7 linked regions of the Neurospora crassa OR74A genome follow. The protein of the gene in region 1 binds, or shares a complex with, the protein of each later gene. Links are inferred from orthologs where the notes say so. Each region holds a gene or a part of one and is shown in the gene's direction. Other genes may lie near its edges. The genes, in order: NCU08395, NCU03625, NCU01614, NCU09880, NCU06354, NCU03778 and NCU00505.

The links.
Region 2: NCU08395 (region 1) and NCU03625 share a complex: the UniProt entries of both Saccharomyces cerevisiae proteins name them as parts of the U4/U6-U5 tri-snRNP complex. The link is inferred for Neurospora crassa OR74A from reciprocal best matches to the Saccharomyces cerevisiae genes DIB1 and SMD3.
Region 3: NCU08395 (region 1) and NCU01614 share a complex: the UniProt entries of both Saccharomyces cerevisiae proteins name them as parts of the U4/U6-U5 tri-snRNP complex. The link is inferred for Neurospora crassa OR74A from reciprocal best matches to the Saccharomyces cerevisiae genes DIB1 and SMX3.
Region 4: NCU08395 (region 1) and NCU09880 share a complex: the UniProt entries of both Saccharomyces cerevisiae proteins name them as parts of the U4/U6-U5 tri-snRNP complex. The link is inferred for Neurospora crassa OR74A from reciprocal best matches to the Saccharomyces cerevisiae genes DIB1 and SMX2.
Region 5: NCU08395 (region 1) and NCU06354 share a complex: the UniProt entries of both Saccharomyces cerevisiae proteins name them as parts of the U4/U6-U5 tri-snRNP complex. The link is inferred for Neurospora crassa OR74A from reciprocal best matches to the Saccharomyces cerevisiae genes DIB1 and SME1.
Region 6: NCU08395 (region 1) and NCU03778 share a complex: the UniProt entries of both Saccharomyces cerevisiae proteins name them as parts of the U4/U6-U5 tri-snRNP complex. The link is inferred for Neurospora crassa OR74A from reciprocal best matches to the Saccharomyces cerevisiae genes DIB1 and SMD2.
Region 7: NCU08395 (region 1) and NCU00505 share a complex: the UniProt entries of both Saccharomyces cerevisiae proteins name them as parts of the U4/U6-U5 tri-snRNP complex. The link is inferred for Neurospora crassa OR74A from reciprocal best matches to the Saccharomyces cerevisiae genes DIB1 and SMD1.

The regions. Positions count from the first base shown.
Region 1 is NC_026507.1:1,106,290-1,110,472, reverse strand, and holds NCU08395 (pre-mRNA splicing factor Dim1), read left to right. Parts: upstream 1-1,383; 5' UTR 1,384-1,563; coding exon 1,564-1,739; intron 1,740-1,807; coding exon 1,808-1,882; intron 1,883-1,952; coding exon 1,953-2,133; 3' UTR 2,134-2,483; exon of another isoform or gene 2,484-2,537; 3' UTR 2,538-3,713; downstream 3,714-4,183. Other genes in the region: NCU12034 (hypothetical protein), read left to right, coding at 1-1,093. UniProt on the Saccharomyces cerevisiae protein: Essential role in pre-mRNA splicing. Also essential for entry into mitosis (G2/M progression) as well as for chromosome segregation during mitosis.
Region 2 is NC_026505.1:1,887,150-1,890,922, reverse strand, and holds NCU03625 (small nuclear ribonucleoprotein Sm D3), read left to right. Parts: upstream 1-1,314; 5' UTR 1,315-1,498; coding exon 1,499-1,546; intron 1,547-1,617; coding exon 1,618-1,678; intron 1,679-1,766; coding exon 1,767-1,896; intron 1,897-2,030; coding exon 2,031-2,142; 3' UTR 2,143-3,273; downstream 3,274-3,773. Other genes in the region: NCU03624 (hypothetical protein), read right to left, coding at 3,308-3,773. UniProt on the Saccharomyces cerevisiae protein: Plays a role in pre-mRNA splicing as a core component of the spliceosomal U1, U2, U4 and U5 small nuclear ribonucleoproteins (snRNPs), the building blocks of the spliceosome. Also binds telomerase RNA and is required for its accumulation.
Region 3 is NC_026502.1:2,951,739-2,955,151, forward strand, and holds NCU01614 (hypothetical protein), read left to right. Parts: upstream 1-1,233; 5' UTR 1,234-1,544; coding exon 1,545-1,652; intron 1,653-1,854; coding exon 1,855-1,946; intron 1,947-2,056; coding exon 2,057-2,129; 3' UTR 2,130-2,913; downstream 2,914-3,413. Other genes in the region: NCU01615 (hypothetical protein), read left to right, coding at 1-808; pp-2 (protein arginine N-methyltransferase HSL7), read right to left, coding at 3,079-3,261, 3,368-3,413. UniProt on the Saccharomyces cerevisiae protein: Plays a role in pre-mRNA splicing as a core component of the spliceosomal U1, U2, U4 and U5 small nuclear ribonucleoproteins (snRNPs), the building blocks of the spliceosome.
Region 4 is NC_026501.1:6,357,876-6,361,576, reverse strand, and holds NCU09880 (small nuclear ribonucleoprotein SmG), read left to right. Parts: upstream 1-1,311; 5' UTR 1,312-1,425; coding exon 1,426-1,455; intron 1,456-1,596; coding exon 1,597-1,668; intron 1,669-1,727; coding exon 1,728-1,802; intron 1,803-1,861; coding exon 1,862-1,942; 3' UTR 1,943-2,260; coding exon of another isoform or gene 2,261-2,454; 3' UTR 2,455-2,572; coding exon of another isoform or gene 2,573-2,897; 3' UTR 2,898-3,201; downstream 3,202-3,701. Other genes in the region: NCU09879 (hypothetical protein), read right to left, coding at 1-780, 880-982; NCU10125 (hypothetical protein), read right to left, coding at 2,261-2,454, 2,573-2,897; NCU09881 (hypothetical protein), read right to left, coding at 3,690-3,701. UniProt on the Saccharomyces cerevisiae protein: Plays a role in pre-mRNA splicing as a core component of the spliceosomal U1, U2, U4 and U5 small nuclear ribonucleoproteins (snRNPs), the building blocks of the spliceosome.
Region 5 is NC_026504.1:2,807,277-2,810,027, forward strand, and holds NCU06354 (small nuclear ribonucleoprotein E), read left to right. Parts: upstream 1-1,173; 5' UTR 1,174-1,342; coding exon 1,343-1,483; intron 1,484-1,547; coding exon 1,548-1,574; intron 1,575-1,629; coding exon 1,630-1,698; intron 1,699-1,768; coding exon 1,769-1,822; 3' UTR 1,823-2,080; downstream 2,081-2,751. Other genes in the region: NCU06355 (karyopherin), read right to left, coding at 1-24, 104-193, 276-404; NCU06353 (hypothetical protein), read right to left, coding at 2,081-2,718. UniProt on the Saccharomyces cerevisiae protein: Involved in pre-mRNA splicing. Binds and is required for the stability of snRNA U1, U2, U4 and U5 which contain a highly conserved structural motif called the Sm binding site. Involved in cap modification.
Region 6 is NC_026505.1:2,382,706-2,385,902, forward strand, and holds NCU03778 (small nuclear ribonucleoprotein Sm D2), read left to right. Parts: upstream 1-1,227; 5' UTR 1,228-1,439; coding exon 1,440-1,465; intron 1,466-1,564; coding exon 1,565-1,597; intron 1,598-1,745; coding exon 1,746-1,797; intron 1,798-1,874; coding exon 1,875-2,080; intron 2,081-2,165; coding exon 2,166-2,208; 3' UTR 2,209-2,697; downstream 2,698-3,197. Other genes in the region: NCU03777 (mitochondrial 3-hydroxyisobutyryl-CoA hydrolase), read right to left, coding at 1-278, 353-475; dak-1 (dihydroxyacetone kinase 1), read right to left, coding at 2,781-3,197. UniProt on the Saccharomyces cerevisiae protein: Plays a role in pre-mRNA splicing as a core component of the spliceosomal U1, U2, U4 and U5 small nuclear ribonucleoproteins (snRNPs), the building blocks of the spliceosome.
Region 7 is NC_026501.1:8,193,101-8,196,352, forward strand, and holds NCU00505 (small nuclear ribonucleoprotein Sm D1), read left to right. Parts: upstream 1-1,406; 5' UTR 1,407-1,533; coding exon 1,534-1,547; intron 1,548-1,665; exon of another isoform or gene 1,666-1,766; coding exon 1,767-1,934; intron 1,935-2,012; coding exon 2,013-2,202; 3' UTR 2,203-2,752; downstream 2,753-3,252. Other genes in the region: pkr1 (ER membrane protein), read left to right, coding at 343-846; NCU00504 (hypothetical protein), read right to left, coding at 2,861-3,252. UniProt on the Saccharomyces cerevisiae protein: lays a role in pre-mRNA splicing as a core component of the spliceosomal U1, U2, U4 and U5 small nuclear ribonucleoproteins (snRNPs), the building blocks of the spliceosome. Also binds telomerase RNA and is required for its accumulation.

The DNA.
Region 1 (4,183 bases):
CCCGCCCCCATACTACCTCCTCTCACAGTTCCAAAACAATCCCGAAGAGCCGTACTGCAAAGGCTGCGGCAAGCTCATTGACCCCAAGCGCACCTTTGGCACCACTGGAGCTCCCGCGTCAACTGCTGCAAGCCAGAAGCAGGGAGCAGGCAAAAGCAAGGGATTCAAGCGTGGCGGTAAAGACCAGGACAAGGAAGACGAGAAGCCAGGCCAACTCCAGCAACAGGAAGTCAGCAGGTTCTGCACGTCGAGATGTCGCAGTGAGTCCCAACACAAGAAGCGGGACATAAAAGAGCAGGAAAGGCAGATCGAGGAGACGTACGTCAAGTTGTTGCAGGGGCAGATGGTGGACGGTATGGAGCAACTTGCCGATGGCCAAGCGGACGGGAAGAAGAAGGGGAAGAATGGTGGAGTGAAGCCAAAGAAGGGAGAGGGAAGAGTGGTAACGCTGGAAGAGGTGGAGACAATTGTCTTCGGAAGGGAGAAGGACGCCGAAAAGGTGTATGGGAGGAAGAAGAACCGGAAGTCGAGGGCCTTGACAAGCGTGGGGCCCAATGACGAGGACACTATTACCTCTACAGACGAAGAGTCTCAGTCAACCTCAACAAAAGCCGGCAGACCATCGAGTAGAGATTCGGCAATCGGCGGCATCCAGATTGATGCTCTGCAGTTGGGCGACAAAGCTTTTGACGATGAGATAGCCCCGCTACCCAAGGGCAAATCCCATCCGTACACCACGGGCGGCCATGAGGTCGCTCGTCTGGCTGTCCGCAGCGGCACGCGCATTCGTCCTCCCCAAGAGGTCTCCGAAGTGAACGGCAGCGTGGGCGGAGAAAAGGGCCGGGCGGAGCGGAAGGCAGAAAGCGAGGAAATGAAGGAAGAAATCAGACAGAAGAAAGCGGAGGGGGACAGAAAGGCGCAACAAAAGGAGATGATCAAGTCGGTGGCGAGAAGAGGAGTGGTGTTTGGGTTTGATGTGCCGTCTTCTCCTGATGGCAACAAGAAAACGTGCGAGTGCGTGATGCCAGGAGGCAAGGTCGTCGAGCCACACTTTGCCAAGGGTAATTGGGGAATTCGATGGAGGGGTGACTAAAGTGTACCTTGCCGCACTTGGACAAGTACAACTAAGTTCGCGGGAGTGATAAAACTTTATGTCAGAGTAAACGAATGAACCAGAGACAAAGTACTATGTAGAACGGTGACGACGACGAGGTTGGTGATGAGTGAACCAAAGTCGCAGCTGCACACGGCACGCCAAGTGGAAGCCCGTCCTCCCTTGGTTCCGGCCAGTTCGATGTCTTATCGATAAGGTGCTTATTATGTAAGCCAGCCGTAGAGGTTAGGTTGTGTAAGTAGCAGTGGGGAATTTCGACGAGCTTCGACCGCAGTCGCGTCGCAATCGACATCATCATCATCCATCGTCTCTCAACATTCGATTTCTTGTTCAACCATTTACACCCTCTACGGGATTTCGCCCTCTGATTTTCGCCATATCCGACATTGATATCAATAGTAATCGTTCACGGAACCACCGAATCTCGCTCAACAACTTCCACAATCACCATGGGCTCCATCGTCCTTCCCCATCTCGAGACCGGCTGGCACGTCGACCAAGCCATTCTAAGCGAAGACGAGCGTGTGGTGGTTATCCGTTTCGGCCGCGATCACAGCCCCGACTGCATGCGCCAAGATGAAGTACTCTATCGCATCGCCGACAAGGTCAAGAACTTTGCAGTCATGTACGTCTCCCTCCGGCCTCGATCCCACTCTTCCATCAACACCTGCTGACCCATCGCCACACCACCAGTTACCTCTGCGATATTGACAAGGTTCCTGATTTCAACCAGATGTACGAGTTATACGACGAATGCACCCTCATGTTGTAAGTACTACTTCGGCCTGATCACCATTTTGAGTTGCGAGACAGTCACTGACAATCTTTGGTTGCACAGCTTCTTCCGAAATAAACACATGATGATTGATCTCGGCACCGGTGACAACAACAAGATCAAATGGGTACTGGAAGACAAACAAGAACTGATCGATATCATCGAGACGGTCTACCGCGGCGCGAAGAAGGGACGCGGTTTGGTGGTTAGTCCCAAGGATTACTCGACCAGACATCGCTACTAGAAGGGCGAATAACGACAGGAGCAACAACAACAACAACAACAACAACGAGAACGACTCCCCAAGATCTGGCAGACGCAAAATTCCGCGGTACGGGGTTTACTCGACGAAGTAACAACAAGTTCAAGGCGAAGCGACAGAGGAGGGTTTCTGGAGGCTGCTGGGGAGCCTGGAGTTGGTTCCCGTGACTCAGCCCTGCTCTGGAATTCATTTACCACGGGCATCTTGCGGCGTAATCAAATGGATAAACGGCTGTTAACTCGGCGACGAATAAGTGATGGTTGGCTTGGGCCCACGCCGAGCCGCGAGCTGCCTTTGAGGAATTAGCACGCGAGCGTGGAAAAAAAACAAAGGCAAGCGGAACCATATCGATTGGGCATCGAATGTACCTAGCTAATGCTGAGCAGAACCGGCCAGAGAAATTGATTCCATCGTACCTACCGACGGAATCCTTGCGATACCGTCCAAGTGATTCATCACTGTTCACTGGGCTGCACGTGAATGTTCACGGAATGCCATAGGCTGTTTTACAGGCTTGTCCTTTACAGGCCTCGTTGGTGATATCTTGAGGATCCGAAACCGAGACTGGCGCTGCTCGGTATCTCTGTATCGTACCACCCCGTTACTCGGGGATGGCGAGATCGACAATTGCCGTCCCGTTTCAGCGGAATCGCGATATTCGCAGATCTGCAGTTCAGTCCAGGGTGTACGGCTGGCAGAACCTTCATGCTATTCTAGTTCTTGGATAGCAAGAGATGGACTCGTCCAACCCCCTGGACAGCATCATTGTCTGTCACTGACCGTTCCCTTGGTACAGTAGGATCTGAAACATAAACATTGTTCGCACGTATCACATGTCACCTAATACCCAAAACGAGTGGCACCTTTGTCACACAGACGGCATCGGGAATGACAAACAATGAAAGTACCTCAACCATTCGGAAGCCACTCTGTTCTCGGTGTCAGCCTCTTTCGCGATGGCGCTCTTCGTTTTTCAATGCCATGCATAGGCGCAAAGACGTTTTCCGGGCGGGCGGTCTAAACCCAATCCTGAAAGGGGCGTTATGGGTGCGTGTGAAGCGACCGGGCAGCCGTTGGTTTGGCGGGTTTCAGGGGTAAGGGTTGGGGGGGGGGGGGGGGGGGGGCTCAACTTTATTTTCGCTTCACCGGTTCCCTCTTTCTCCCCGTCACAGTGAAGAAGGCGATGGGCTTTTTGGACGCTTTGACAAAATGACGAGAATTTCAAGCTCTGGAAACGATCCGTCCACAACGTCATCGGGAGTCCTGGCTTTGGAATGATATGTCGAAGTGTAGTTTGGTTTCTTCTCTTTTTTTTTGAACTGGTCCACTATGGGGTATCAGGTCTCGTCTTTCTCTTCCTTTCAAGCCTGATGACAACCGAACGTTTCCCGTTAGCATTGTACAACTGCGGTGAGGGTGGCTTTGTGTTCCAACCATATGTTTCTTTGCCATCTGGCCATGGACAGGAAAAGGAGACAAACAACTACCAAGGCGCAATACTACCGCCCCTTTCCCATTTCATACACGTCATTTCTTCAATCGCATCTTAAACAGTATACTCCGGTTCTAGCATACTCTGCATACTCATCCTCTCGAATGGCCCTCGCTCGGGATAGGCGTAAAGAGTACCCAAATGATGCAGAATCGGCAATGTCAAAAGCTGTGTAACTTGGTCTCGAATCTGGTCAGGGGGCGACGAGGGCATGGAGGGGTCCAGGTCCAGCTCCCTTTTCCCACCAAGGCGGCCCGCCTTCAGGGGTCTCCCTGCCCGCCCGGCTTGCTGCCTCCATTTGGTGCCTGCCCGCCGTTAGTTAGAGCCTAGAGGTAGCCGGGGGCCGCTGAGCGTTATGTATCGCTGTCTCCGTCAGTGCCGCCCTCGCTCCCTGTTCACGGCATCCCTGTCTGTCCCTGCACTGGTTTGGCGGTGCCTCCACTGTTTGGCTGGCGACCACAGTCTGGGACTCCCCGTCGTACGAGACCAAAATAATGTGGTGAAACCAGCTGCACCGTTGATTGATCATTTTCCTGTCGT
Region 2 (3,773 bases), on another chromosome or scaffold:
GACCAGACCAGAGATCTTCCACTCGGAACTGAGATGTCATGTAGCGTCCAGCGCTAGAAGTTGGCAGACACCTCCTGGAGAGTGGTGAGACGTCCAATCAGGGCAAAGACGAGGACATGATGGTGGGAGGTGGGATGCAACCGGAGCTGCCGTCGAGCTTGTCAAAGCTTGCTAGTACCGCACCATCACCACACGATCCAGCTCACACAGCGAGATAACAAAGAAGGTGGAGAGAAAAGACCGAGAACTCGGAGCAACCAAGACGGAGGAGCAGACGCACACAGATCATGGTCTCTCGATGCACATGCATGCAGCCTATAACAGCCAGTGCTATGGAAGATCAGTCCACGCCAAACCCACCTGCCGCAGCTCGAGGTTGAGACGGTTAGTTGCCTCGCCCATTCAGCGGTGCCGGGGCGGTTCGTGGGGTTTGATCATAGGGTTTGGGCATCAAGCTGACAACACAGCAATTGGCCGGCGGCCCACTTGGCCAGCCCGTCACTGCGTTTTGAAAATGGGACAAGGCCAGATGGCCCCTTACTCGCTGGACTACGTAGCCGTGCAAGCCGTGGTCGTGGCCGACAGGGAGCGAGGATGGAGGCATGTATGTAGTAGCATGATGCAGAAGGACCCGGGTACGGCATCTCTCGGGGCGCGAGGAAGTCTGGAGAACGTCGAGGGGCGTTTTCTGTCCTGTATCACGTCCCGTCCTTGGCTGATAGGCAATGGCTAGACGAGGCCGTCGAGAATGTGGGAGTTGCTCGTCAACGGTTGGCTGGTGGTATGGGGCAAAGCGGGAGGGGAGTGACTGTCCAATATTCGGGGACAAGGGTGAATTGAGAACCGAAGGACCTCACATAATTCAGCGTATAGAACATCGAAGAAGGCCTCATTGAGAAAAAGGTTGGGGATGCTGTGTTCAATGCGTTGGACAATCCCATCCCCGTGACGGCCGCCATCATGCGACGACTCGGAACATGAGCCAGGAAAGTTGAGCGATAACGGCGTTCGGGGTGCTGAACCAGACAGTTCATACTTTGATTGAGTACAAGCGTATGACAGCAGGCCGGTAAATTCCACTTACTGCCAATGGGTTGAAGAAAGAAGGTTTATGTCAGTGACGATGACGAGGTTTTGGATGACCGAAGACCACCAGTTCACTGAATGTGGGGACAGCGCAGAAGAGGCGTGTGGGGAAGCCTCCACACTTCCTTGTAGTGTAGGACCTCAATGCGCGGTACGTACCGTGAGATCTGGCAGCTGTCTTGCAGCTGACAAGATCAACTAAGCTCTCCGACGAAATTCCCAGCAGCACCGGGCTGACAGGGCTGCCGCGTTCACGTCAAAGGCAACTGATCGCATCCACTATCATCGCGAACCAAGTCGCCTGTACTTACGGCATACCATCTAGGTAATCTCTAAAACCAACACCAAGAAAGATCAGTTCGCCCCTCCACATCGCCAACCAACCTCACCACGTAATAACACAGCCGCCAACATGACTTCCACAATTGGTATCCCCATCAAGCTCCTCAATGAGGCTCAGGTAAGTAAACACCATTGCTATGCACAGACTGTAGTGCTGCCAAAAGCTAACCAACCACTCCTGTCCCACAGGGCCATATCGTCACTCTCGAGATCACCTCCGGCCAGACCTACCGTGGCAAGCTTATCGAAGGTACTGCTAACCCCCATGAACTCTTCATTCCCATTCACTCCTCTAAACTGGCCAGCCATGCTAACCAATGCGCTCCCCCGCAAAACAGCCGAGGACAACATGAACGTCCAACTCAAGGACATCACCGTCACAGCCCGCGACGGGCGCGTCAGCCATCTCGAACAAGTCTACATCCGCGGCAGTCATGTGCGATTCTTTATTGTGCCGGATATGTTGAGGTACGTTCAAACCAGGCCACCACCAACTCATCCGTTGCGATTCTTCTCCCCAGTTGCCCCCTACCTACCCAATAAGTCGGATAGGACCCAAGCTAATCATTTCCTCCTCCTCTTTTTTTTGTGTTCCCATACAGAAACGCCCCCATGTTCCGCTCCCGCAACGTCCGCGGCCGCGGTGTCGGTCTCGCCCGCGGTCGTGCGACAGTCAGTAGGGCGCGCGCCGGTGGTCGTGGCGGCGCCAGATAGAAGACAGCGAGCGCCGCCTGTCGTCAGACTCATCGACCAAGACCAGACCCAGACCGAGAATCATTGAAAATTTCACAACGGAATGCAATATTGGGGCACAATAATCGGCATATTATGGCTCCTTTTTTTTTTCCGCGCGCAACGACAACCGCTATTTTGATATTTTAGGCGTTTTGGGTGGGGGGAACCAATAAAGCAAACTTTGATCTTCTTTCTACCGAAAATGGGGGGCAGCGAGTTGGATGGAAAGAGAAAAGTGTGGGGGGCAAGCTTTGGATGCCCAGAGAAGGAGGAACAGGAGGGATAGGGAGGAGGGTGGCTCAAGGCCGGCCAGAGATGAGAAGGGACTGGAGTGAGTGCTGGGGCTGGGATTGGAGGGTTGAGAGCCTCGATGAGGAGTGATATGGAGGACGCCAGCTGGCCCCGCTCATCCATCTGCTGCCAAATGATGATCATGGGAGAAGCGTGGCGTATCCAGGGGTTTTCACGCTCCGCCAGCTGGACGATAATGGTCGGTCGATGCAACAGCCGCTACCCGTCCGTCAGCACGCAACGAAAACCTGGCTTCATCACGGTTAGCAGCCAGAGCGAACCAGGTGTTCAGCCAGCCTCAGGTCTCCCCCCAGTTGAGTCCTTGGCCAAGGAGCGAGCACATACAGCATGGATCGAATCGCACCGAAAGCGAAACTCCTACTAGCCCTGGTTCTGATATAGACAGGGTACGTATTCAACGTCTTTGTCTATTATGTTGTTGTACACACAACCCATTCCATCTTCAGCCTACGCTGACAGTTTTTGATATCTACCACAAAAGTCCGATGCCCCCTTTTTACTCCCACTTCGGCTTGCTTTTTTAATGGTACATAAGAGTGTAGCCCTGGTTGATCTGTTGCGTCCGCCGGTTCTAACCCGCCTGTCCCTATATGTGAGGCTCGCATAAGACGAGCTTGCAACAATGCTCTGAGTGAGAGTGAATCGTGTAGACTAAATATACAACTGGCTGTTTAAGGGTTGAGTTGGAGAGGGCATATTGTCAAAACACCCACCTAAGGGACTAACAGGCAGGGCGAGAGGGCTGTGGAAAATAATAAGCACAAGAAGTCCGAAACTGACCAAGTTCGGTTTGCAGAATGTCCTTCTAAACATCTGTTGCAACCCATCATTTCTACTTCAGCCTCGCAAGCGCTTCCTCGGCCCGCTTGAGGACACTCTTGGCCTCCTTCAGCTCCTCAATCTCAACCGCCACATCCTCGGGAACTTCAGGAGAAACGCTATCCAGCACCTCGGCAATGCTGGCTTCGGTTGCGCGAATAGCCTTGCGTCCTTCCTCACGAACCTCGCCCTCCCAGAAATCTCTCGCCCTCTCCCACCTTTTCTGCAAGCCCCTCAAACTCAAAACAATACCCAAGGCGGCGACGGCTCCACACTCATATATTCCGAATCCAGAGAGCCAGGACATGCCGCCGAGTGCCGTGGTGGCTCCCGCTAATGTTGATGACTGTAGCACGAGCTTCTGCGCCAGTGCTTGCAGGGCCGGAACAGTTTCCGCTAGTAGATAGTTTCTTGTGAAGGGGATATGCGCAGGCCAATTTCCCTTGGTCTCTGATTCCGTAGTAGCAGCAGTAGTAGCA
Region 3 (3,413 bases), on another chromosome or scaffold:
CACCGGCGACCTAGCCAAGATGACATGCGAAGCCCTGATCAGCCTGGCATCGCGCCGGGGGCATCGGCCCAAGACCATGGCGCGCCAAGCGCGCGAGGCTAAGGCGCGGGAACAGAAGCATAAAGAAGCCGAAGACGCGTGGGACGGCAGCGTGCCGGATATGGCGGATCCGATTTCTGCTGAGGAGCAGGCTAGGCTTGATATCTTGGAGGCGATTGTAGAAGGGTGGTCGTCTGGTACTTCCAAAACGGGTGAAGAGGATGTAAGGATCCGTGCCTCTGCGTTGTCAATTCTGGCGAATTGCATCGAGACGAATATTGTTGGTGTCGCGGCGGTGTTGACGATGGCGAGCGTGGATCTGTGCATTAATGTTGTGCAGGTAGAGCGGCAGCTGGAGAAGGGGATACTCAGGAGGGCGGCGGTGAGGCTGATTATGAGCTTTATCAAGGCCATGGACGAGGCGAAGCACGAGGGGAGGGTGTTGGGGATTGCGTTTGGGAGTGAGACGCAGGAGCAGCTGAGGACGATTTTGGGGTATGTGGAGCAGACGGACGAGGATGGGTTGGTCAGGGAGTATTGTCGGGATGTGCTGGAGAGCTTGGAGAATTGGAAGACGAATAGCTTGGTGGATGAAGTGTCGTTGAGCCAGGCAAGAGGAGGAGGGTTCGGTGGTGGTGGGTTAACGAAGCTGGCTGGGTTGGTTGTCGACCCGGAGAGGTCGGTTTCCCATGGTGGTGATGATAGTGGTGGAAGTAGTGGCGGTGTTGAGATGTTCGGCGGTAGACCTAGGATTGAGGAGATTGAGTAAAATATCTTCACCCAGTATGGGACTTTATTAATTCAAAATGACTTCCTGTCAGGTCCTGAACAGTCCCCTTCCATTTCGTTTCAAAACATCGGCGTCTTCGAGGGTCTTGACCTGAAGGTGTAAGTGGGCATCGGAAATAATCAGGGAGAGATGTCACCAGGTAAACTTGAGTGAAGAAGTGAAAGAATACACTAAGCTATGTACCTGAGTAATGATAAGCAAAAGGATCGCCATAAAGGTCTTGGTGATGCTCATCATCGTCGCTGTCAACAACATCAAGTATCCTCTAGCCACCAACCCTAACCCTGTAATCTACTAATCAGACAGGCTTATTGCCACGTCCAATCAGCTATCGCGTTAGGGCTCCACATGTCCCTCGTAACAGAGGAACTTCCATCGTCGCGCTACTCCAACGCCGCAAAGGTCCAGCATTGGAGGCACAGTCCCAGTTGGAGCTTCTTCCATCATAGCATCAACGCCAATCCCATCTCTCTTCCCAACTTTTCATAACCATAACCTCGACCTTGTTGCGTCCACCCGACCACAACCCACTCTTACACATCTAAGAAAACCGACAAATACAAAATTCCATTAGCACCAAGCCGAATCGCGAATCCAACTTTCGAGCCGTCCCATCGACGACAACAACAACAACAACAACAGCAAGCCTGTGAATACACACACAAGGCGCCACGCACTTGACCAAGAACCAACCCTTCGAACCGAAACCGACAACATGTCTTTTGTCCCAGTTAACCCCCGTCCCTTCCTTCAAGATCTCGTCAACAGCTTTGTGACGATCCGCTTGAAGTGGGGAGAGACGGAGTATGTTGGCCGTCTTGTTGTACGTATATATATACATATCCAGCATCTTTCTTCCAATCTAGCCTTCCCTTTGCCGCTGGACTTTGGTCTTGGCATACACAGCTGTGGGAAGCGATGGGGAGGGGAGGGGAGGGGGAAACCAGCAGGCAGGACCAAGGAGCAACGAAGGAAGAACAAAGAGAGAGAGGCTGACGAAATGCGTGTGTGCATGTGAACAACAGAGCATCGATAGCTACATGAACATTCAGCTCAGCGACACAAAGGAGTACATCAACCGCAAGTTTACGGGCGCCTTGGGGCAGGTTCTGATCAGGTACGTCCATACTGAATACATCCCACTGCTACGGCTTTCCATACGGACGACCCAATCCCCCATCTCGTATCAACTAGCCGGGATGCTGACATTATGGACTTCAACAATAGGTGTAACAACGTTCTCTACATCAAGAAGGCCGACGAGGCGGAAACAAGTGGCGACGTCAAGATGGAAGAGTGAAAGTTCTCTCGCCACCAGGAGGAGGAAATGAAAGGGTAGCCTAGACTAGCGGGCAGGGTGGTGAAGGGCGCGATTTGCAGAACAGACAGGAGGAATGTGTGAGGAGGGAGGGTCGTGATGTTCCGACTATAATACCCTGGGAGGAAAAAAGAAGAAGAAGAAGAGATGGATCTACTCTACCGACCAAACCAAACCGAGCCGAACCGAAGCACAAACCACAACGCACCCGCTCGCCGAAAACTCGTTTCCCAATGATGAAAGTGTGCGCTTCACGAAAGGTGCGACAACAGCTTTGATGATATCGGGCGCGCATGGTGTGGAGAGTGGTACGGAAGGGCGGATTTGCTTCAAGAGAGAGTGAACGGTGGATGGATGGATGGATGGGTACCGAGCGTCTCTCTGTCTGGTAGAGACCTTCGTTGCATCTCCTGCGCAAGACCGTCAAAGGAGCATGTGCCATCTGGCCTTTCCTTGAAGATAAAGGCTAAAATAAGATGTTGGAACAATACTCAGCTTAACAGGAAAGAAAGAAACAAAAATCTGTCAAGACCACACATCATCTAGGTACTGAGCAAAGAAAAGGAAGTGGCGGGTTGAGTTAGACATGCGGACATGGCGTCTGGTTTCCAGGTATTATTTCAACTGAAAGAAAAAGAGAACGAGCGGCGTGAATTTCTGTTAGTCTCAACTTCCACTTGCCTATACATCACACGACTACAGGCAAAGACAGTCACCATCATCATACACATCGCGCGCCTTCCCAATTATGAACATTCTATCCACCATTTGACTTCGAATCTTTTATTCTTTCGCTAAAACAAGACTTTTGACCTTTTCCTCGCAGCGTTTGTTACAGCTGCATACTTACACACTCCTAACACCCGACCTAGCCAGCCTTGCCCACCACCTACTGGTACCTAGTTACCTCCGTTTTTACATTTCCTCTCTTCTAACCAAAAATGCAGGCAACCTTACGACTGCTATGCATCTCAGAAGCGCCAACCTTGATACGGGTCTTGGGACCCACCCAAGCATACACTTCAACCATCCACTCGTACCACACCCTGGTGTCGTCGGTCTGGCGCCACATGCTGACTTCTAGCTCGGTGTCCTGAGGGAAGTAGAGGGGTTGCTATGTATCGTCGAAGAAACAGGGTCAGTAATCGTCACCAAAGCAGGAGCGAGGAGCGAAAAGTCAAGAAAAACAAGAAATGAAGGAAGAAGAGATAAAAACTCACCCTAAGAGGGAAGAAAATCGGGAACCAGGAAATCATGTCCTTGCTC
Region 4 (3,701 bases), on another chromosome or scaffold:
CGAGTGCGATGAAATCGTGTTCCTTGGCAAGGCGCGCGCGCCGCTCTTTGCGCTCGCGGATCTCGGCTTCGGTGAGGACATGGGCTGCTGGGGCATCGCCAGTGAGCGCTAGGGGCATGTCGCGGGATTGAACAATCATGGCGCCGTCAAGCTCAGAGGGGTCGAGGTCCATGGCGTCGCCCGTTGTCCCGGGCGCGGCAGATGCCTCCGGCAACGGTGCGCTGTGGGTTTTGAGGCTGTCGTCGTCATCGTCGTCGATGATGCTTAGCGAGGCGAGATTCTGTGGTGTGGCTGGCGTGGAGCTTTGGAGTTCTTCAAGGTATTCTTTGCTGTACCGAGGCTTCTCTTCGTCGGCGCCAAATGTGCCGAATCGTGCGGTCAGGGCGGACTTGCGAAGCGCGTTCTTCTCGGCAACTCGTTGGCTCAGCGACTTTTTGCTTGGGGCGCTGACCACGTCGCTGCTGGCAGTTGTTGTCGTATCATTGCCGCCATCTTCCGTGTCGCCCTCGCTGGCTCCGAATGATAGTTTTGAGATGCGCTTCTTCTTGCTGGAGACTGAGCGGCCGAAACCGGGCCGTACTACGAGCGGCACACCAGTGTCCTCCTCGGCTTCTGTTACCTCGGGTGCCGTACTTGTGCTGGTTGACGTAGGTTGGATTGCGTCGCCGCTGGTTTCTTGTGGATTATCGTTACCGTCGTTGATCTTGATCGTTCTTCGTAGTGACGAAGATTTAGTAGGCTTGCTGCGCCCAAACTTGGTCGGTCCTTGCGGTACTGGTTCTGTTCGAAGGCGTATCAGCTTGCTTGTTCTTTGGTTTGGTATCAGCACTGAGATTTTCTATGCTGGAAAGGGATGGGCATGGCCATATAGCAACTTACGTTCGTTCTTCGGCTCCTCTCCTCCAAGCACCGTAGGAAGGTCGCCATCCTCATCGTCAAAGGTCTGGATAATGCGTGGCTTGCGCTTTCCAAAAGAGCTCATTTTTGTGATGATCGACTTGAGTAAAGTGTAGAATGGAAGTAGGTTGTCTGACAGGGAGTTTGTAATACAGTGATGTAGTATTGAGGCGGGCGTGTTGTTTACAGGTAAGTTTGTAGTGCAAAAAGGTGTCCAGACAGCTAGGAAGCTTCGAAATGCACCCTGGAGAATGACGCTGGTGGGCGACTGGATGTCACCACTGCACTGAACACTGCAATCACCCAAAGACGGGCAACGCGAATTGCGGTTTCTTATCTTATCAGTGTCCCCACGTGATGGCCTGGCGGCCGAAAATCACTGGGGATGGTCGCGATTGCACGCGCTGCACAAGGCCCGCCTTCCAGGTTGTTTCAGTGGAGAGTTCCCAGCCAGAACGACGCCATTGCCATTCATTGCAGCAACTCTCTCGAGACCATCCCAGACAACCAACACAACCTCAAGATACAATGGCGCCCGCACAACCTGAACTGAAGAAGGTAAGAACTTACTCTTGGAGAATTGCCTTTCACGCTGAATGGCAGCTGGCTGGTCGAGACTATGCCATTGTCGCATCTCGAACTCCATGTTATTGTTTGTTTAGTATGGTGTAGTGAGCTAACCGACCACTTTCCAACCAGTACCTCGACAAGAGGCTCTTCGTCCAACTCAACGGCAGCCGCAAGGTCATTGGTGTTCTCCGTGGCTACGATGTACGAGATCTCCCCTTTACGAATTCGAACATGATGATTGACGGTTCGCGACGTCATAGGTCTTCTTGAACATTGTTTTGGACGATGCTGTTGAGGAGAAGGATGGTGGTGAGAAGGTCAAGCTTGGCATGGTGGTATGTTTATCATTGTAGAAAGGTGCTGACGTGTCTCCTGCTGACGAATGTGCACACAGACCATTCGTGGTAACTCCGTTGTGATGATGGAGGCTCTCGAGAGAATCGGCGGCGATGAGAGGGGAGGACAGCGCGGCTAATCAACAATCATCTTCTCGCAACACGATAAAACGACCCTGCGCATCTACAAACGCCTACATCAAAAGGCGAGGCATCGGAATAAGCGGATGGCAATTGACGGGATTTGACTATATACCAAGGCGATTTACACTTTACGACGACATCTACAGTGTTCCACGCGGTCTTGGACGGTGAAAAGCTAGGTGGGTTGGCTGGTACGGCGTTCAGTTTCACACGAGGCATGTATTCGGGAAAGCTGCATTATCTTCAACTTAGAAAGGGAAACATCTGCGGCGGTGGTCGAAGAAAAGATACCCAAAGGATTTTTTTGTTTTTCATCACGTACAGCTCTTCTCCGACAACAGCTGCTTCCACGTCTTCTCGTCATAACCGTCCACCATGCGGTCGCCGTACATCCGCACCCAGCCTCGAATCCCGCCCGTCATGACCTGCGACTGAAGATCGCCGCCTACTTCGTTGATATAGTCTTGCATCCAGGCGGCACATCGAGGGCCCCGACCAGCGGAGGAGCCTGGGGGAAGAAGCATCGGTGTTAGAGAGGGTCGGCGGTAGAGGTACGAGTTCAAAAGAGCATAGGATTGATTGGACTCTGTCCCAAGAGTCAATGACAGAGAAAGTCAAACACGTACCACAATAGAAGACCACCTTTTGGATCCCGGCCTGTTTGCACAAAGCGTACAAGCTCTTGCGCGTGGGGAAGAAGCTGTGGGCGGGCAGGTTGATTGATGAGCTGACAGTTCCCCCGGCGCAGTCTGTCCGGCGACAATCGACAAGCAGCAATCTGCGCGATTGGGGCATGTCATCGACATGTTCTTGCTGCTCAAGAAGCTCGAGGACAGTCTGGGGCTCGATATGGACCGGCGTCGAAGTTGGCTCTGGAAATGCTGCCCACCACGGTGTACCATCCTCGCGCCTAGCCATGCGCAAGCAGTGTTCGTGAACGTGTATCGTCATGTTGAGGCCGTTGCTGAGTTGGTTTCTCATTGACTGATTTCTTAGGTTAAGCGGAAGAAATGTACCGTTGATGCATTGTCCGGTATATGAAGGGCAGTCAGGGGTAAACTCTTTGTTTGCCACACTGGATTGGGGCGGCTCTGAGATCTAGTCACATCTTTCAGCAAGCCACGCCGCCAATACTCATCTCGCGGGACATGTCCTCGGCAGTCACGTCCTATCATAAATCACTTGTCTCGTACGATCGGATCCTCTGATGCCGTAGATGGGATACCGCATCCGGAGGTAGTCCTTCCTATCCTATTACTCCATGGAGTTTTTCAGGAGATCGCGGCTAAGGGGGGACGACAAGATGATTTCTTCACCAGCTCATCAACGCGACATACTGCCTGGTCTCGTCGCTTCTATGCAATTTAGTAACCATGAGCATGTTATTTTTCTTATTACCCATATTCATGCCCCTCGCCATTTACCCGTAGATAACTGATAGCTCCGACATCTTGGTTTACTCGGCCCGGCATATAGGGGGATATCACATAACGAATTGTTGAGGTGTGTAAGTTGCAGCACCAGGACACCTGCGACAAAGCGCACCAATCAATATACATGTCGTTGTATGGAAGATTGATAAAAGGTTAAACCACGGCGTTTATAAGGTATACAGTAGCAAGACGCTCCCTCCAACAGCCCAGCGACACCTGAGAGCTATTCTGATTTATACGTCACGGCGTAACTTCCACCAAAGAATGCCCACATCTCCCAAATCAGTCTGTGCTCGCTTCGTTGTTCCATTCATTCATCATA
Region 5 (2,751 bases), on another chromosome or scaffold:
TTGCGTTGCGAGGTCGTAGGTAATCTGAGAATCGTGAATGTCAGCGGTGCGCGACATACAAGCGTAGCGGTATCGTCGTGATCCAATGGGTATCTGTAAGTACCTTGCCCTTCAGTGTCGTTGCTGCGAAGAGTTGCGCCTCGGCTTCGGGAGAGCCCTGCAAGATCGATATTGTGGTAGTCCAGGCCTCGTTCTACGGTCGATTGAGAAATGCGGGTTAGTCACATGCGAACCATAGGTGTGTTGGCGTCGAAGGAGCTGAAAGCCCAACTGACCGACTTCTGAAACTTTTGCAGGTAGTCCATGGCGGCCTTCTTGGAACCGGAGTCACCACTCCGCATCGTCAGCATGGCCTGCAGGACATTTGGGGTGGTGAAGCCGTCTGTGGCGCCGTTGGAAGCCATGTTGGGCAGCTTCGGATTGTGTATGATGTGATTTAGCTCGAATACAAGTGTTGTGATGGCAAGTGTTGCGATGCGGTGTTGCAAGTGGAAGCTATCGCTGGGGTATCGCAGGTCGCAAAGTGGATGGATCAGCCCCTCCTATTCGACAGGAGTGTTGTCCGACTTATCGGTCTTGCGACGCGATGGAAGCTTTCAGGATATGTTGTTGTAAAGGCGAGGAGCTGCGATGCGCACGGGGTATATGAAGCTCCAGAGAGGTTGCAAGAATAAAGGACTGGGAGGTATTGTACGGTGCCGCCGTGGTGACAGGATTGCTGCAAGTTGGAGGTTGCCGGCGACGATTTGCTCTTGAGCGTCCAAAGAAACGACGATTGAAAAACATCCCGCCAACAATCGAAGAACGTCAGGCTGCCTGACACCGACCGACCGCGAGTGGAGTAAACGGCGGCGGGCAAGCGGGTCAAAGAAAGTGGAAGCACATCCTGCACCGCCATAAGTGGGACAAGCGGGAGGGGCTCATGCTACCCCAAACTGAAGATTCTGTGGCTTGAGAACCCAAGCAGCTCGGAAAAAGTGAATTGAGCTGAATGCCAAGAGGTTATGACACGACGCTGTGGGCCCAGCAGCATGTAACTAAGTGCACAGACCAGCTGAGCAGCTCCCGTCCCGTCCCCGGCGGGAGGTGCTTGTGAAAACAAGAGCTCCACACGCCAGAGACAGACAGGCAGGCAATTCGACATTCGGGGGAAATTCATTGAAGTCACGTCCCGGCCGTAGAGAGAACGCGTCTGGGAACAACTGCAAGCCAAGCCCAGCCGACCAACAACGACCATCCACAACTTGATTGCGACTTACTTGTTCAGCCTCCACATCACCATCAAACTTCTGTCCTAAACACCGGCCAAACGACCAAACCACAACAAACTTTTATTCTCAACATGACCGGCAGAGGTGGTGGCGGCAACCGCCGTGTTCTTCTTCCTCCCATCAACTTCCTCTTCCGTCTTTTGCAACAACACTCGACCGTCCAAATCTGGCTGTACGAGCAGCTTCACATTCGCATCATCGGCACCATTCGTGTAGGATTCTCCATCGTGACCTCCCCGAAGAGCAAACATAGGTGCTGACAATTCCGTCTTACAGGGCTTCGACGAGTTCATGAACCTGGTGGTGAGTAGCGGCGCATGTCCCACTAGCACTACGAGACCTAACCCCATTTCCACAGATCGACAATGCGATTGAGGTCAAGCTGGTCTCCAAGACAAACGAGACGGAGGAGAGGAGGGAGCTTGGGGTAAGAATATGTTTAGGGCTGGACGTCGATGTTGTTGTGGCAGTGGAAAGGGTGGCTAACTGGGTCGCAGCAAATCCTCCTGAAGGGCGACAATGTCTCGCTCATCCAGAGCTACTCCGGGTGAAGAGCTCCAAACCTGAAGGAGAAGCGGTAATCGACGATGCAATTTACGCTGGGACCTACATCGAGCGACGAGCCAGCAGATCTAAAGCTGTACATAGACGGCCCACAAAGATGTGGTGCGTGGCCTTCTACACAACAAACGACACCGAATCTACGAAAGAGATACCAGGGAAAAGCGATTGGCCGAGGCGCACAGGAATGTCGACTATATGTATTTGATCAAAGGAAGGCAGTACGGGATGGATATCAGGTCATGGAACTATTTGGGTGCAGGAGGGCTCTTAATCTCGCCATTTCCGAGTATCAGGCCGTCCAGAGGTTGATCGTGGCGACCAACAGGTACCGACCCCTCGGATGGAGAGGATAGAAACTGCTCAGACAGCGCTAAGCCATAAAGCAATACAGGGGTTTCCTGCTTCCCCAGCTCGACAGACTTTTGGTTGTGCCGGTTGATGAAGTAGTCGTAGAAGCCTTTGCCGTGTCCGAGCCGTCTGATGGCCCCAGCTTCCGGGTCAATGTCGAAGGCCACGCCGGGCATGAGGATCAAGTCAAGCAGGGTTTGGTCGGAGTGGTGGGCGTCGGGACCTCCAAACACCCTCTGCCGCTCATGGACCGTGGCCGGGTCGATGCTGGGAATGCCCCATCTGTCTGGCTTGAGGGACTCATAGTCGTGAAGATCTCTGAGGCGGACCATGTCCATGACGCGGGCTGGGAGGTTGGGCGAGGCCAGAGGGTTCTTGTGAAGATACGGGATGAAAACCTCCTTGCCGGACTCTAGAGCGTGCCTGACGATGCCATCGGTCTGGATCTCGCCCGTGGGCATGGACAGGAACACGCTGACCCGTTTGGCGTCTACGTAGGGCTTGAAGTTCCTCAGAGTGTTGAAGACCACAGAACCTGCAATTGCGGATTTAGTCTGCGCTGGCAGTA
Region 6 (3,197 bases), on another chromosome or scaffold:
CCCTCGGCGTTCTGCTTGGCCAGCGCGGCAACATCACCACCGGCGCAGAAGGCCTTCTCTCCGGAGCCCTTGATGACGATGACGTTGGCCATATCGGAGCGTTCCCATTCGAGGAGACGGGGCGCGATCTTGCGGATCATGGAGCCATTGAGGGCGTTGTACTTGGCTGGGCGGTTGAGCTCGACGGAGCGGAGATTATATAGACTGTTGAAGAGGACATCCTCGGGCTCGTCACCCTCGACGGGCTTGAACAACTCGGCGGCGGCTTGGGTCGAGATCTGGGAGGAGGGGGCGGCGAGCGTGTTAGCTGTGTCCGTGTCCATGGCTTTTGTCTTCCCAAGGAGCGTCTTACTGGGGCCTGCTGGCCCAGGACTTTGGCTCTGAGCGGCATCGCGGTGAAGCTTGGTCGGCAGCTGCGAGAAGCAACAGCAGAAGCCAAGCCGGCGCGGCTGGCAATGGACTTGGAGACCAACATCGATGTACACTTCGGTAATTGGCTGGCTGGCTGGCTTTGTCTAGAATAGGAATGGAATAACAAGACCCAGGGTCAATATGGAAGAAAAATACTAAGTCCAAAATCCACCCCGAGGCTGTTTAGCACCGTTGTTGCATCATAGACCGGCCAAGGGACTCGGGCACTTTTTTTCGGGACTCGTTTTCCTGGGCTGGGAAAGGGAAAACGGGAGAACAATCACCAATGATCTGAATGCCGCGTGGATGCAGGAACCGTGATAAGTGATAGCGAGAGTATCTGCAAATCCACTTTTTGCTGGAATTCAACGCGAAATGGAGCTCCAGCTTCAATTGATTTTCAAGGGCACCGCGCCTGGCAATCCCCGGGGCGGGGTTAGGTACGGGGGAGCTAATACATAGTGTAGAGGTAGCTGTGGAACCTGCCGAATCCCCGCCGCTATCGCTAGAAGCTGGAATATCCTCCGGCCGATGATACCTCTATCCATTCAAACTTGTCATTTTCCAGAAGCGACGCTCGGGCCCTCCGCTCACTGGAAACCCGATGTCCCGGCTGTCCGGGGGAGCATGTCGGGTTCGGCGGGGCTGGCAGCACCTGTCACCGGAGCGGTCCTCAGCCTTTCGCATTGGGATCCACCGTGAGCTTGTCATCCAATCGCCAAACTTTGAAGACGGTTCTGTTCCCAGAAAAGCTTGGCGCGTGTGCTGTAGCTGCTCCACGCTCCGAGTCGCCGCCGCGCCTGGCCCTCCGCTGCTGCAACATTTCCCGTCGTGGATTGAAGATAGCGATAGCATCCATTACAGCAACTATTGTCCAGGCTTCTACCGTACACCACCAACCCATACCACGCGAAGCAACCACTCGACGTCAACAACCATTTTTGATACAAAGACAAAACTACAACTCATTTGCCCCTCCTACATTTCAGTACCACTCCAATTCAACTCTAGACCAAAACACCATCGTCATGGCTTCAGCGGATGCAAAGATTCAGTCAGTAGCTATCCCACTCTCCAGCATCAACCCATGTGCGCGGGCAGCCCATGGACGCTTCAAGGAAACCAACTTGACTAACAACTGTCTACTATACAGGGAGCTTCTCACGAAGCCGCGCAATGAGCTTACGTACGTTATATCCTCTTGTCAACATCACCTCCCTCTGTTACCATCGTCATCTCGCCCGCCCTGCTGCTCCCAGCTCCTCCTCTTTGCGACCCAAGACCACGACGCCCGCCCAGCCAAATCACAAAGCTAACCAACTCGTCTGATACAGTGAATACGAAGTTTCTCTCCTCGAAGAGCACGAGTTCTCCGCCGGTCCTCTGGTACATATGCCCCATAAGCCTTGATCTACCACCCCTTCGACACGGAGCAGCGACTAATATGACACCCTTTTTGGCAGTCCATCCTCCAGACCGCCGTCCGCAGCCACTCCCAAGTCCTCATTTCCGTCCGCAATGGGCGCAAGATCCTTGCGCGCGTCAAGGCTTTCGATCGCCACATGAACATGGTGCTGGAGAACGTCAAGGAGATGTGGACCGAGACGCCCCGACTGGCCAATGGCAAGAAGGGCAAGCCCGTAAACAAGGACAGGTTTATCAGCAAGATGTTTGTGCACTTCCTTTTCATCTGTTGTTTCTCTCGCCCAGGAGAAGCGAAGATCAATGGCTGACATGTTTCACTTTCCTGGCAGGTTCCTGAGAGGCGACTCCGTCATCCTTGTCCTCCTCAGCTAGTTCACGAATAGCACGGCAAAATGTATAGGTTGGAGGTTTATTTCACTTGCACGGCGAAGACACGCGCCAGCACAACTTAGGGTTAATGGCTCGAATGGAGTGGGGATGAGCCCGGGAAGGGTACCTATTGTTGGTCGACTGAATCGAGAGACATGCGGACTATATCACCTTACTACTACTCAACCGCTCGATCGACCATGATGACGACACAACCACGAAAGCAATTCAAAACGCCCCGTGAAAAGGCGCCGCGCAGGAACGAGAGGAAAGAAGAGAAACCCAAGCAGATTTTCAGGGGCTATTAGGAAGGTCATACAAAGGGAAAACTAGTGTGAGCTCGGCGTTCAAACGTGTATTTGGTTTTGTTTAACTTTTTATCTTTCATTTCTGGTAACTTGATCGAACAGAATACCCAGACCGTGTTTAGGTTTTCGCAGACGCGGTCATGTTTTCTCGTGCTTTTTAACGACAAGCAACGGGATGATTTGTATTGGTGTTCCTGGTACGTCATTGAAATGGTGGTGCAAACTAACTACCTAGGGGTATATCGAGATCACATACAGCACCAATTCTTACGGCAATTCCGCCTCTCTTGTAACCTCCTCCCATCCATCATCCGATCCCTTGGCCTGCTTAGCACTGGAATCATCAGCCTTTTCAATTCCAGCCAGTCCAAGGAAGAACTTGGCCAATCCCCAAGCGCCCGGATCCGGCACCTGCTCGAATCCGGACCCGCCAATGTAGACGGTGCGGCCCAACTTGGCCTTCATACCCTTGGTGCCCTCAGCTCCCTGCTTGGCAGCCTCGGCCGCCTTCTTCACATCACCGGTCTTTTCGAGCGCATCGACAAAGGGATAGAGGGCATCAACCAGGGTGCGGTCACCGGGACGAGCGGGCGTGTACTTGGACAGGGCCTCACAGCTCAGTTTGAGGGCTGCGGCCCAGGCATTTTCATCAGCAGCTTTCTTGTCCGACTCCCCTCCACCGAC
Region 7 (3,252 bases), on another chromosome or scaffold:
CCGTGTCTTGTGATCTGGTATCCATGGCCCTGTCCTCTCGGCGGGTGACCAGCTCTTCGGCCCTACGGGCTTTGTCTGGTTGGGCTGCACATCCTCATCCGTCCCCTGCCTTCTGTCCCTCGTCATTTATAAAGGTTGTGAGGCCGTGACTAACCCTCTCTTCGACTGTAGTCATCCACTACGAACCATTGACTTTACTGCGAGTTTGTCTCTTCGTTTGTCCGCATCGCTTCCACGGCGCATCGTCCTGAACACGAATCGACAACAAGAATTTTCCTCTACACGACATACCTTCACGGTCAAACTTTTCAACGCCGACATAGCGCCAGCCTAATCTTCCCAATGACATCCTTCGTTACAAATCTCTGGGAGTCGATCTTCACTCCGGGGCCGACTCCCACCCTCCTTATCGCGACAAATGTCACATTTGCCGCTCTGCAAATTGTCCTGGCGTGCCTCCTCTTTGCGACATGGAGTATCCACTTCGTAATTCTCTCGGCTCTCTGCGGTGGACTCTGGGGATCCATCAACTGGTTCGCGGCGGAACTGAAGGTGCACCAAATCCAAGAAGAGGAAAAGGCGAGAAGAGCCAAAGAAGCAGCGCCAACTCCAGTCACATCGGAAGACAGCGAAACAGAAGTAGAGGCAGCTACATCGACAGCTAGCCTCACGAGGCAGGAGTCAATTGCAGAGGCGGTCAGCCATGAGGTTGAGCCTATCCAGCAGATTGGAGAACTGAAGCACAGAGTGGTTGAGGAGACACCGAGCCTGGGCACTAAGAGCGGCGTCAGCACGGAAGATGAGTGGGAGAAGGTTTCGGAGAACGAGAACGAAAAGGACAAGTGAATATCCTGGCGATTGAGCGGGGACCGACCACACGCAGAACGTACAAGCGAATGTCGTGTTAGCGAAGTTACCATGGCATCCTGTAAATAGTGTCATGGTCCGCTTTCGTGTTGGAGTTGAGCGACGATGGCATTTACACATCCACCCTGTTTTCGTTCTTCATTGGATGAAAGGAGAGGCAGTTGAAGGCTGTAAGCCCTATGTTCGTTTCATAGTCCTTATCCTGCCATGAGGCATCATGATCTGTGCAACTACAGCTATAGCTTCAGAGACAAAGTCATAGTAAACAACACCTTGTTGTTCGGCGTGGCAGTTAGCCAGCCCATCTTCGTGTACCCCAATTATCTGGTTGCTTCAACTCAGCACATGAACAGATCATGTGCAGGGCAGGCAATTTATGGATAGCTTGAAACCCATGACTTCCAGGGTTAGGGGCTTTCAAGCCGCCGTTTGCCTGTTCAGCTCGGCTCACGTGATTGAGCACGGGCTCTATCTTGGCGCGTAGCGACGGCAGGCTATCTGCTCCACCCTGACGCTTGGATGGTTGTGCAAGCGTCCAAGGAAGCTCGACAAGCCTTCTCCCGTCGCGACTGTTGATTGACAAAGTAACAAGCTGGTAATCGAGACCTTGTCACCACCAATTCCATACAACACATATTCGATTACGCGTTGTCCAAATAAGTCAAGATGAAGCTGGTCAGGTAAGATTTCTCCTTGCTTTCTGATACTTCGCTACATGTACCCGATACCCCATCCCACCCGACTTCATTCCTATTCTCTTGCACGACGCATGCTGAGCTTTGAGTCCTCGCCTTCAAGGCTGCCAGCCCGTGTTCGCGCGCGTCCATGCTGCTCTACTAGAAAAAGAACACCAAGGGCACCAGGCTGACGAAGTGGAATCCGTTACTTCAACACTGCAGATTTTTGATGAAATGCGCCAACGAGACGGTGACGATTGAGTTGAAGAACGGCACAATTGTACACGGCACTATCGCCTCGGTCACACCCCGCATGGACACTGCGCTTCGCAACGTCAAGATGACCCCCAAGGGCCAGGACGCTGTGGCTCTAGATGCCATGAACATTAGGTAAATCAACCCTTTCAACTAAGGGGGAGTGGCCCTTTTCAGTTTTCGAGGGCATCACTAACTATTGAAACCCTACAGGGGCTCGACCATCCGTTACTTCATACTCCCCGATTCTTTGCCGCTCGATACATTGCTAGTTGATGATTCCGTGAAGCCCAAGAACAAGGCGAGAAAGGAAGCGGACCGCAGCGCCGGCGGCAGAGGTGGCCGTGGTGGCCGTGGCAGAGGAAGGGGAATGGGTCGCGGCCGCGGTCGTGGCCGTGGCTAAGCGGATCTCGTTTCTTTGGGATCGGCCACGGCGTACGTCTCCCTGGACGACAGAAACGTGCGAATTAGATTTTTTTTCAAAGACGATACGATGCTATACTACGGTTAATGGTGGATTTTTTTCGGTTTTTTATGCCCCCTTCGGTCGACCGGCTTGACCGTCTTGGTAGGGAAGATCAAGGCCGGCCCGAAATAACGTCCGGTGGCGACGACACGACAAAATCGACGATGAGTGCGCTTCAGAAAATCGAGGAGCATATCCCAGATCTTCACTTGAGCGACACTCGAGATTCACCTCATTCGCATCGAGTGTTACACACATAAACACCACTCCCCCTCATCGGATCGGAGCAGAGGGCAAGCATTGGGATTTCGTTGCGGCGTTCTGGACAGGATAAAATCACTTTGCTAGCGGGAAGGGAGAGAGAGAAAGGCGCGCCCAACCGCCACCGGAATGAACTATTTTATGTATCACAAAACAGATAGACGGCGATATATGCCTACTGGAGAAGGCGGCACAATCAGCAACTCTCTATACCAAATTTCCCCCAGAATTTTCGAGCCTTGTACGTGACTGACCATCGTCCTTCCCCCTCTTCCACCCTCTTCAACAGCTTCCTCCCCATCCTCAACTCATCACCAGCATCTCATCCCTCCATTCACCTCCAAACCCTCACAATCTGCAACTTCTCCCAACCCGCCTGCCTCCCACTAGTCCCCACCGTCTCTGCCTTCCACTTCCCTTCACCACCCATCACCCTGATCCTCCCTTTGACCTCCTCCGGCTTATTCTGCGCACAAAGCAGAATATACGCCACCCCCCTCTCGCTCAACACCCCCGGCAAGGCCTCAATCAGTCTATCCGTCGTCTCCATCCCATCCCTCCCTCCAGCATACGTCAACTCCAAGAGATGTGAGTCTTCCTCAAACGTCGTTTTCTCCTTCAGTGCCTGCAACCCTGTCGGTGGCGGCGCAGGCAAGTCAGGCGTAGGGACGTAGGGCGGGTTGAAGACTAGGACATCTACCGATCCGGGACGAAAGGGGGAGACGA